Linked DNA regions of Caenorhabditis elegans. The protein of the gene in region 2 interacts with the protein of the main gene of each other region in a pairwise test. Each region holds a gene or a part of one and is shown on either strand. Other genes may lie near its edges. The genes, in order: brc-2 and rpa-1.

Evidence for each region.
Region 1: the proteins of rpa-1 (region 2) and brc-2 interact in a two-hybrid assay, tested with the Caenorhabditis elegans proteins (one study listed by BioGRID).

Annotation. Positions count from the first base shown.
Region 1 is NC_003281.10:6,899,778-6,904,921, reverse strand, and holds brc-2 (DNA repair protein brc-2), read left to right. Parts: upstream 1-1,815; 5' UTR 1,816-1,844; coding exon 1,845-1,867; intron 1,868-1,942; coding exon 1,943-2,093; intron 2,094-2,188; coding exon 2,189-2,292; intron 2,293-2,336; coding exon 2,337-2,476; intron 2,477-2,559; coding exon 2,560-2,733; intron 2,734-2,784; coding exon 2,785-2,907; intron 2,908-2,950; coding exon 2,951-3,035; intron 3,036-3,081; coding exon 3,082-3,178; intron 3,179-3,417; coding exon 3,418-3,545; intron 3,546-3,610; coding exon 3,611-3,728; intron 3,729-4,101; coding exon 4,102-4,143; 3' UTR 4,144-4,354; downstream 4,355-5,144. Other genes in the region: T07E3.3 (DSBA-like thioredoxin domain-containing protein), read right to left, coding at 1-49, 97-375, 420-544, 600-741, 959-1,027; T07E3.4 (F-box domain-containing protein), read right to left, coding at 4,518-4,744, 5,133-5,144. UniProt on the Caenorhabditis elegans protein: Required for the homologous recombination repair of DNA double strand breaks, thereby playing a role in chromosome integrity. Acts by targeting rad-51 to sites of DNA damage and stabilizing rad-51-DNA filaments by blocking ATP hydrolysis catalyzed by rad-51.
Region 2 is NC_003280.10:7,662,708-7,667,850, reverse strand, and holds rpa-1 (putative replication factor A 73 kDa subunit), read right to left. Parts: upstream 3,270-5,143; 5' UTR 3,260-3,269; coding exon 3,176-3,259; intron 3,124-3,175; coding exon 3,070-3,123; intron 3,022-3,069; coding exon 2,940-3,021; intron 2,896-2,939; coding exon 2,790-2,895; intron 2,748-2,789; coding exon 2,503-2,747; intron 2,461-2,502; coding exon 2,159-2,460; intron 2,107-2,158; coding exon 2,011-2,106; intron 1,962-2,010; coding exon 1,077-1,961; intron 1,032-1,076; coding exon 918-1,031; 3' UTR 741-917; downstream 1-740. Other genes in the region: F18A1.7 (Chondroitin proteoglycan 4 domain-containing protein), read left to right, coding at 4,097-4,214, 4,262-4,564, 4,613-4,880, 4,931-5,042. UniProt on the Caenorhabditis elegans protein: As part of the heterotrimeric replication protein A complex (RPA/RP-A), binds and stabilizes single-stranded DNA intermediates, that form during DNA replication or upon DNA stress.

The DNA.
Region 1 (5,144 bases), on a different chromosome or scaffold from region 2:
TAGTGTCTCCTTCATCAGTTAACAAGATTAATCCGGGTGCTTCAGTAAGCTGAAAAAGGAAATTCTTGATTTTATTTCTAGAAAATTAAAATTTACTTTGAAATCCACGGCTTCTTTGCAATTTTTGTGTAGTATCGATCGATTTTCTGGAGATGAGAGACGAGCCACAATGTCTTCTGCGATTTTGAATGAGATTCCAAGTTCACGGCATACTGTAGACATGTGACACCCGTAGTGAACTGGAAGTCGCTGCTCCCAGAGCCGTTTTCCCAAGTGATGAATTGCTTTTTCATAGAGGTCTGGGTATTGTTCACGGATTGAAGTGAGGAACAGCTGAGGGATGACCGATCCACGTGCTACCGCTGTTTTGTAGGTCTAAAAATATTTGTTTGAGAATAAATATTCGAAATCAATCTAACGTTTTTCCAATCTACAGGTGGCACGACACGCTCACAACCAATAAGTTTCTTGCCACGCTCGTCGATTTTTTGTAGAATTCCCATTTCTGAGAGTGTTTCTTCGCTTTCTGCTTGCTCTGGAACTTCTGAAATAACTTTCCCGCGATTATTTGGATTTCTATATATTTTCAAACTACTTACCTATTTTCGTTTTCCAAAGTCTCGAATTGTGTACTTGTCGACGTTGGTTCCAGATTTGAGCATTATGAAGAATTCCAATTTTAAAATCACAAACTGGCTCAAAATCTATACGCTCGAATAGAGAATTGTGTGATGTAAGAGCCTGAAAATTATATTTGATTTTCTTTCCATCTTTTTTTATTTTCGGGAATAATAAAACATTCAAAAAGGGCTGAGATCTATCTATTTTTCACATGCGACCCATTTCTATTTCACGTGAAGCACATGATTCTGAAGGGCAATGGAAATGAAAACCCGGAAAAACAAAATCTTTCAGTTTAAATTGTATCAAAACAAGTTTTTCTAGATTACAAATGTACCTGAATAGTGATCCATGAATTGGGACAGACCACATCGAAATAACATTTCACACGTGGCAATGGAGCCATTTTGAAGTTTGGCTGAAATTAAATTTATGTCGAGAAATTAAAAAAAATCAGAGCGTCATCATGAGAAAATAGGAAAGGTTTAGACTGTAAAATCAGGTTTTCATGGCGGGAATGACATTAAAATGGTGATAAGGTGATTATTTTATCAAAAGAATTTTTTGAATGATTGCACCTAAAATCGAGTGCTTTTTCTTTAATTTGATTATCAAAAGAAAATACCCAAGAAATGGAAAATGAAAATTTAAGAGATGAAAGGAAAAAGCGACCCGGAAAAACATCAAGCTGGGAAGAAATCTCAACTAGTTAGACCAAAGCTTCGAACTCTGCGAGCATGTATTTTTTTTCCTCACTTTCTCCTTTTCTTCTCTATTTCTCTAGATCTTTATTACTGCGGGGGCAAAAAGAGTAAGAGATAGAAAAGAATGACGCAAAAAATACACGGATTTAATATTTGCTTTGCTTTTTTATTCAGAGAGGAAAGGTCAATTGGGGGTTTCCCCTCGTTTTATGAATGAAAACCGCACATAAATATAATTATTTCCACAGTTTTAAACGGCAGAAACGGTTCGTGTTATAATTTGTGAGATAATTGATTTTGCATTACGAAATTAGAAGAAAAGGCGGAAATAAATAAATTAGTGTCGCAATTTTTTTCTCAAAAAGGAAATAATGCAATTACGCTCCACCGGACAGTAAAATTCTCAGTTTATTTGAAAAACAAAAATTTAATTTTTTCCCTTTTTTTCAATTGAAATCTCAAATTTCTGAACTCAAAATGAAATTTTCAGACTTTACCAGAATATTGTGACATCGACCGATGGGTGACTCATCTAAAAAAGTGTTAGTCAAGATTTATTTTATTGTTATAGCAAGAAAATTGAGAAACATACATGAATTGCAATTCTTTGTTTTCAGAAAAGACAGTTTCGACACAATATCTGAACCAGACAGCTTTGATGAGCCGAAAGGCGTACCGATATCAATGGAACCGGTTTTTTCAACAGCGGCTGGTATCCGAATTGATGTGAAGCAGGAATCGATTGATAAATCAAAGAAGATGTTGAATGTAAGCTTTGGAATTAAAAGGAAATAATGGAACATATTCTGAAATTAACTTCGACAACACATTTATTCTTCTAATATAAAAAATTTCAAATTCAGAGTGATCTCAAGAGCAAATCCTCGTCTAAAGGCGGATTTTCTTCCCCTCTCGTGCGCAAAAACAATGGGTCGAGCGCTTTCGTTTCACCGTTTCGAAGAGAAGGGTAAGTTTCAAAGGTGCTATCTAGCTCGAAGTTTTTCTTTTCAGAACGAGCTCAACAACTACAAAACGGCCGGCTAGCGGCGGTTTCGAAGATTTCGAAGCTCCACCAGCAAAAAAATCAACCAGCAGTTCTTCTAAAAAAAGTAAAAAACATTCGAAAAAAGAAAAGAAGAAGGAGTTTAAAGGTTAGTTAAGCTCTAGAATTGGCTCTCCTTTTTGAAAACTGTTCTTTATTCCGTAATTCTCGTAATCCGGAGTCTTTTTTCAGAAATCCACGCCGATGTTTTGCGTGTTTCTCGAATCTACGAAAAGGATAAATTCCGAATTATTCTTCAAGAATCCAGCTCAACTCCTCTAATCCTGGCCACTTGTAGCTACAATCGTGGCTCTGATATTAAATTTGGCGACAGAATTCATGTCGACGCGGAAGTCTGTAAAAAATGTAATGCTCAATCGATTGTAGCTATTGATTTAATTTTTCGTAAACTTTCAGCAAGCTCAGGCGATGTTACAGAAATCTATATTGATAGAGTTCTGAAAAATAAGGAAAATGGTGCGAAATCCGGTATCCGACGCCATTCAATTGCCAAGAAGCCGTTTTGCATCAAACCCAGATGTGAGCCATTTCGAGTTTTCACCTAAAAAAATTATTATTTCAGTTATCCACGAATTGTCAGACACGAAAATCAAAAAAACAGTTGTCCAAGTTAACTTACTCGATTTAAATTTGGATTTTTATGCAGGGTACATACTGATTCCTTGATAATTAATATAATAATATTGGTTTCAGATGTTCGAAATGCAAACACTCTCTCCCAGAAGCAGCGAATCAATGCGAGTTTTGTAAGGATTCCCAAGGAAAATCTGAATTGTCGATGTATTCTAGAGTATGTTCTTTATATTTATATTGCCTATTTCCTAATATAGAACATTTTTAATGTTTTGGATAAATAGCCTATTTTCAGCTAAAATCTCAAATTTTTCCGACTTGTCAGTGGTGCGGCGGTCGGAACTCACTTCTGCGAGTTGTGACATTGTCAAGTTGACAAAGTTTGAGATTTTAGCTGAATTTAGATAATTTTTTGAATTTTAGTTTTTGGGAAGTATCGTTACAAAAAAACTTCAGGTGCGAGTTATGGACTTCTCCGGTCAAATGTTTATCAATGTGACTACAAAAAATATGAAGAAATTACTCGATTTGTTAGGATATGAAGGATTTGACAATTGGTTCCGATTCAAAGACCCCCAGGAACGGTGAGATTTTTGCGGCGTTTTAACTTTCAATTTATAATTTTTTAAATTCCGTTGCATTTTTTCAGACAAAACTATGTGTTCCGCCCTGTTATGGTTGAAATCGAAAAATCGAATGATGAATGGGAATGCACTGACGTGGCAGAAGTCGACTGGAAAGATTTTGGCTCTTACTTGAAACATAAAGTATAATTTATTGATACCGAAAAATTACAGAGAACATTTTTTGTTTCACATATCATAATTTTAGAAGTCGGCCAGAATTTCAGACATTTTCTTCATTTTCTTATATCTCAATTGCGTTAAATTTTTTTCTCGAATCTGATAAATCAAAAAAATTCGCCAAAAATCCCTAAATCACCCAAAAATTTCACATTTTTGAAAAGGTTGCAATTTACAAAAAAAAACTTTGACTTGAAATTTGAGAAATCTAAGAATTTTGTAGTGTTTCATTATGATTATCGGTCACGTTAGAGTGATAAGTGTGCTAATTTTACAATTTTAATTAAGTCTCAAAATTATATCAGCTAAAATTTAATAAAATTCCATAATTTTTCAGGAAGACAAGAAGAAACGCCGTTCGAAAAAGAAGCATCCATAATATTCCATTCATGTGAATATTCATTTAATCATGTTTCATTTATTTTATCATTTTTTTGTTGTGTTTATTCGTTTTAACGTAGATGGTTCAAATGCTTTAATTTATTCTCAAAGAATATCCCCGTTCTAATTTTATATGTTCCCCTTCTGTTGTTTCCATGTTAAAGAATTATTATGAAACGATGAAATCTTCATCAGAAATTCGAAAATTTAGAAAAATAGAAACCCGAAACAAGAAAATATACAAGTACAAATACAAGTAGGCACACGTCATTTTGAAGTTGTGGTCTTATAAAGACAATTTCTAAAACCCAAAATGTTTGGGAAATCGAGAGATAAGGGGGGATCAATTGGAAAATAAATTCTATGAATTGATTAAAGTTGGAAGGAAGGTGGAACAGTCAGAAGATTGTTATTATTGCAATTTTGTTCGGAGATTTTCAGTTTTTCAGCCAATTCTTTGTCTTCAAGAGCTGCCAGAGCAATTGTAAATTCGCGTTTTGTATTTTCCTCCTGCACATTATACAATGTCAATGAGCCCGAGCCACGGCGATTTTTGCATCGAAGTCCACGTCGAAGGCATTCGGATTCAAATTGAGATCCTGGAATATATTATAGTTTATTGATTATGTATTAAAGCTGTGATTTTTGCTTCAAAATACGGTAACCGGCCTCGACACGACAATTTTGGTTGAATGCGACAGGTGTGTGCGCCTTTAAAGGAGTACTGTAATTTCAAATCGTTGTGACGATTCCGCAGAAATGAAAGCTTGACGATACAGTAGTCTTTATAGGCGCGCACCTTTTTGAAGATTCCAAAAATTTGCCGTGCCGAGACCTGGTACCGTATTCTTGGCAAAAAATCGGACAATTTCGCGTCTGGAATACGTTCTGACAAAAGTCGACCTGACTTTTCAAAAAATGTAGTTTGGTTTCAACAATTTTACTTTTAGGTTAATAATAATTTTAAAGCTCGTGGTTTTTACTCACCTTTAACTTTTG
Region 2 (5,143 bases):
ATAAAAAACCGAGATGGGATACTGTGACACCACTAAACTCTAAATTGAGGAAAACAATTCGTGAACCTTTTTTTTTTGAAGATAACTAGAAAAGGTTGCGAATAAACGTATTAGGTGAAAAGAAACGGGATGAGCATATGGAGATGACCTTTATTGGGAATAGACACGGAGAACACCTTCTGTTGGGAACGCATTTGTGTGTGCTCTCCCAGACACTCCATAAGGTCAGCTGCATAACCCTAAATTGCATCGACAAATCTTAACAACTGCAACAGAAAAGCTACACTCAAAATATAAGACGGAAATTTTCTTTCAGCACGGCTTAGTTTGGACGAACAATTTGAAAGGAGTGTTCAAATTGCAACTGTTTGGAAACATAATAAAATCATTACGGAATTTATTTTTTTGGAAAATCAAAACAGGTGATAAAAGACGTTTCTGTAAATGAAAGTCACTAGTCTTTTCCACTAATCCGCCAATGTCTTTCATGGAAAATAAGACAAAAAAAAAGACAGCGTTAGAGAGAAATAGACGAAGAGAGCTCAAAGAGCTCGCTGGCTGCCCACGAACCTGCGGGTTAGCAATGGAAAATGTGGTCGTGGGCAGAGAGACGTAGGATAAATGTGGCAACCCAAGGCCATTTGTTGTCGGGCAGTCACCCGCTCTCAAGGACGCTGCAACGACCCAATGCTGTCACTTCAGAACACATCTCGAGGTCACCTGGCACTCAAAGATAGGCTCACATCGTATAGTTTATTCGCTAGTAAATGAGATGAAAAACATTGTACAAAATCAGCGATTGTGGATGTGAGACATGTGATAACTTTAGGCTCAAAAAAGGTTTTAATAATATTTAGGTTTTTTTAGATTTAAATGAAACAGTCGAGATCGGCACGATGTAATAAAAAACAGAACATTTAGTAGTCACTCATTTGTTGCATCTGCTCGATCATTTGCTTCAGATTTTCGATGTACTTGTCCTGATTGACATCATCCACACCATAGACAGTCATCTTCTGACGAACTTCTTCCTATAAAGAAAACAATCATAACGGATCTTCAAGAAATAAAGCTACATTGTACGAATCCATCTTGCAACGAAGTCTCCACATCTTTGGAACAAACTGAAGGCGTTCGAAAATAGCGTTGTACTCATCTGGGCTTTCATCGTGCAATTCTCCAAGCTCCGCAGCTGATTTTCCAACAATCTTCGCAGCACTATCTCCGAAAGCTGTGACATAGACCTGTCCGGTTTCGTCCGAAAGTTCAAACTGCATCATGTACAGCCACTTGAACTTGTTCATGTTCTTATTGCACTTTTCGCATCTGTAGTCACCATTTTCTCCCACAAGTTTCTTTTGGCAACCCTCTGAAGCGCATCCTCTATAAAGAGCATTCGTAGGATTTACTCTGGTAATCATTGCTTTGACAGTTGCGTAATCTCCCTTGTCGGAATCCTTTCCAAATTGCATTTCTTGGAGTCCTGCAATAGTACGTGGAGCTTCATTGGATCCTCCAGCAGCTTGGCTCATCATCTTAACTTCAGTGGTTGGTTTCACGTTTGCGTACCAATCATAGAGTTCAGACACTCCAGCGATTTCTGGCACCGAAATAATACGAGTTGCTGACCCAGTTCCCAAAGAGAATCCTCCATTAAACTCTCTTGGAATAACACCTTTGAATGCGATTACTTTTTGAACATAGTCATCAACAAGTGCTTTTGTTGCTTCGTCTCCCCAAAGTGTCAATCGAACAAGTGCTCCAGACTCGTCAATCAACTCCATTTCTCGCTTGATCAGAGATTTTCCAGCCTTTGAAGTGAATTCGGTAGCCTCTGGATCCATCTTTTCAACCACGACGAGAACGTCAATCAGTTGTCCAGCATATCCAGCGATTTCACCTAGCTTCACTCGTTTGAGTATGAGCTTTGGAGCAGCAAGCAATTCACCTCCAGCTTCAATCTGAAAATTTAATATTTTAGCTATGATGAATCGCTTTAAATTTACTAACGATAGAATCGCTGCGAAGTGTGATCTCGTAGTCGTGTCCAGTATTGTTGAACTTCTTATTTGCTTGTTTGACTGATCCACCAGACAAATAATAAGACTGAAAATATTAAATTAATTATTATGCATAATCCGATTAAAATAATACTAACAAGATTCTCGGTGATTGTGGTGTACAAGGACTCAGCAACCTCGTTGAATGCGGTACATCTGATTGTATCTCCGTTTGAATCGGTTATTTCAAAGTTGAACACTTTCGTGTTTTTCGCTGGGAAAGTACGAATTTCCTCCTTGCGTGATACCATTCCGTGAATTTTGAAATTCGATACGTACGGTGTAACCATTGCAATAGGCATCACGCCTCTTTCTGTGTTCGACGCGGTACGGCGTGCTGGTGGTGGAACAGCTCGAGCGCGTGTAGCCTCTGGAGCAGCGGCACGATTGTATGAGGCTTCTGAAAACTCGAATTACACACATTACAACTCTTAGATTTTACCTTCTCCGAATTCTCTTTTCGGCGCTTTTGCTGCTGGTGGATTTGCCATATTCTCCTGGTAATCAGCAGCCATTCCTTCAGCTTCAGGCCAAACATCTTCGATGATAATATTTGGTCTATAGCCTTTGTGCTCATCAGGTTTGCCAGAATGAGATCTTGGCTTGACTTCTGGAGAGGTCAAAACCTGATGATAGCGAGAAAGAATTTTGTATCCTTTGATCAGGAAGCAATTCTTAGCACCTTCTCTGAAAAATACATTGAAGGACTCAATAATGTTATAATCTCACCCTTGGTCGTAGATTTCAAATTTAGTAAGAGCGATAATTGTTCCCTCAACAAGATGCTCAACTTCACGTTTGATTTGGTCATCGATATCAGCGGACATGAGCGCATCTTCAAAGCATAAATAAATATCAGAGTATAACAAACTCACTTACTGTATTGGAAAACACCGTCTGAGATACGAATTCTGAAAGTGAATGCGTGACCAAGTTGCTCTCCTTGCTCTACTTTGCCTTTCTGAAAATTATCGAATTATTGCGAAACTTTTGAATTAGTCAAAAGTACCAAAACTTGAACGATTCCATCATGTCCAGGATATCCATTGTTTTCGATAGCCTCCTGAAAATTCATCAAAATTAAATTTCCTGGTTTTCTACATTGATTTCTTTACCTGAACATAGCCTGTTGTAAGTCGAAGTTTCCCGTTAGTATGATACTTATTGAAGACATCGTGATTGATGTGAATTGCCGCCATCTTTCACTATCTGAAACAGATACATAAAAATTGGGGAAAAAAGCTTGAAACATGAAGAAACAAATGAAGGGGAGACGATTCAATTTTGAATTCTCTACAGGCCGGATACGCGCCAAAAAAAATGGCGTAGAATGTGATGTTTGCGGGAAATGTGTGCCGAAAAGCGGGAATTTCTGTTAGTCAAAGAAAATCGAGCACAACTTGAATTAAAATATGAGAAAACAAATAAATATTAAAAAAAGGAATTGAGAAGTTTTAAAGATTACAATAATAATTGTTGAAATTTTGATGAAGGTTTTACATCGGCCAAAATCGCATGAATCGAAATTATGGCAGCGCAATATTGGAAGAGGGTTAAAATACTGAACAAAAACATTCTAAAAGTCAATACTTCGTCCAAACATGAAGATTTTCTGCAGGTTCTCAACAAAGCAATTCACATTTGAAAAAGAAAAAAATGAATGGCTCGGACCACCTGCGTAAATCTTGCCGGGTACGGTATTCGCTTCGAGACCTCCATCAAAACCGTAGTTTGGAAATTGTTTTTTCCCGCCGATCTAACTTTTCTATTGACGCGCTAAATTTTGAAATCAGAAAAGTCGCATAAAGAATTCGGATTTTGTTTTATTTTCATTTGTCAGTTTTGATAAATTTTCATTTTATAAATTATGTAAAGTTTCGGCTATATCAGTTACCCACTTCATTTCTACCTAGCTGTTCTTTTCCTTATATGACCTTCTTGAAAGCTTATAAAAGTTTTCGAAAGCTTTTAGACCACTTTCAAACTGCTTAATATCTAACCCCCATTTCGGAAAAAAAACTTCTACATAATTCCAGATGCGCCATCTCCATCTCGCCTTCTTCCTTCCCGCCATCTTTCTGTTCTTCTCGTGTGTAAATGGTGCCATCGAATCGGTACACGACGACAAAGATGTCGTGCCACACGAAGAACAAGGTAAAAAACTAGATTATTGTGTGCTTAAGATTAAAGTTTCACTTCAGCCCTCGACGTCGACACAATTTTCCGCGCTCTTGGAGTTCCATATTGCATGCGAAAGTGCATCGACCCGTTCATCAATTCTACGACGTCTCTGTGGAACATGAAGAATGTTGTACATCAAGCTCGCAAAGTCTGTGGTCATCATGCACAGGCTATCACTTGTCTGAAGAAAGAACAGTACTGTGATCACAACAAGCTCTTCGCAAAAGCCAGCAGCAGTGTTGAATATATGTGTGCCACAAAGCACGTTCTGTTTGAGCGAATGGAGTCGTGTCTCAACCCTGTCGTTGATGATATCATGTCAGGTAATTTTTTTTCTGAAAAATTGCCCACCATCAAAAAATCGTTTTCAGGCTGCGACAAAGAATGCTATGCTCGTTCAAACCTAACTGCTTTCGCTCAAGATTCTAACATTAAATTCGCTGCTACAGTTGGAGGTAATGTATTTATTGTTGCTGATCATCTTGGAGAACTTTGTAACTCTCTGCAATGTACTCTCCCATGTGTCACCAAGCGACTCAACAGCAAGTGTGCCTTGAGTGGATGGCTTAGTCTGGACATGCTTATGCAACCATTCGATGCCGTTTCTGTAATGGTTGATCAATTGTCACCAGCATTGAGGTTAGTTAGTGCGATCATTATTAAATATGCTATGTAACTAAACATTTCAGGGATGTCATCAGTAAGAAAATCGATAAAAGATGCCGTTTTGCAATTAACCCAACTCGTCTCAACCGCATTCGCAACGGCGATTTCAAGGCTTTTAACATGGATAACATTTGATCGCATCTCATTTCATGATTCCAGTACTCACTAAAACCCACGAATTGTAAATAATCACCCGACACAAATATGTTGATATATCGAATAAATAGTTGTAAACT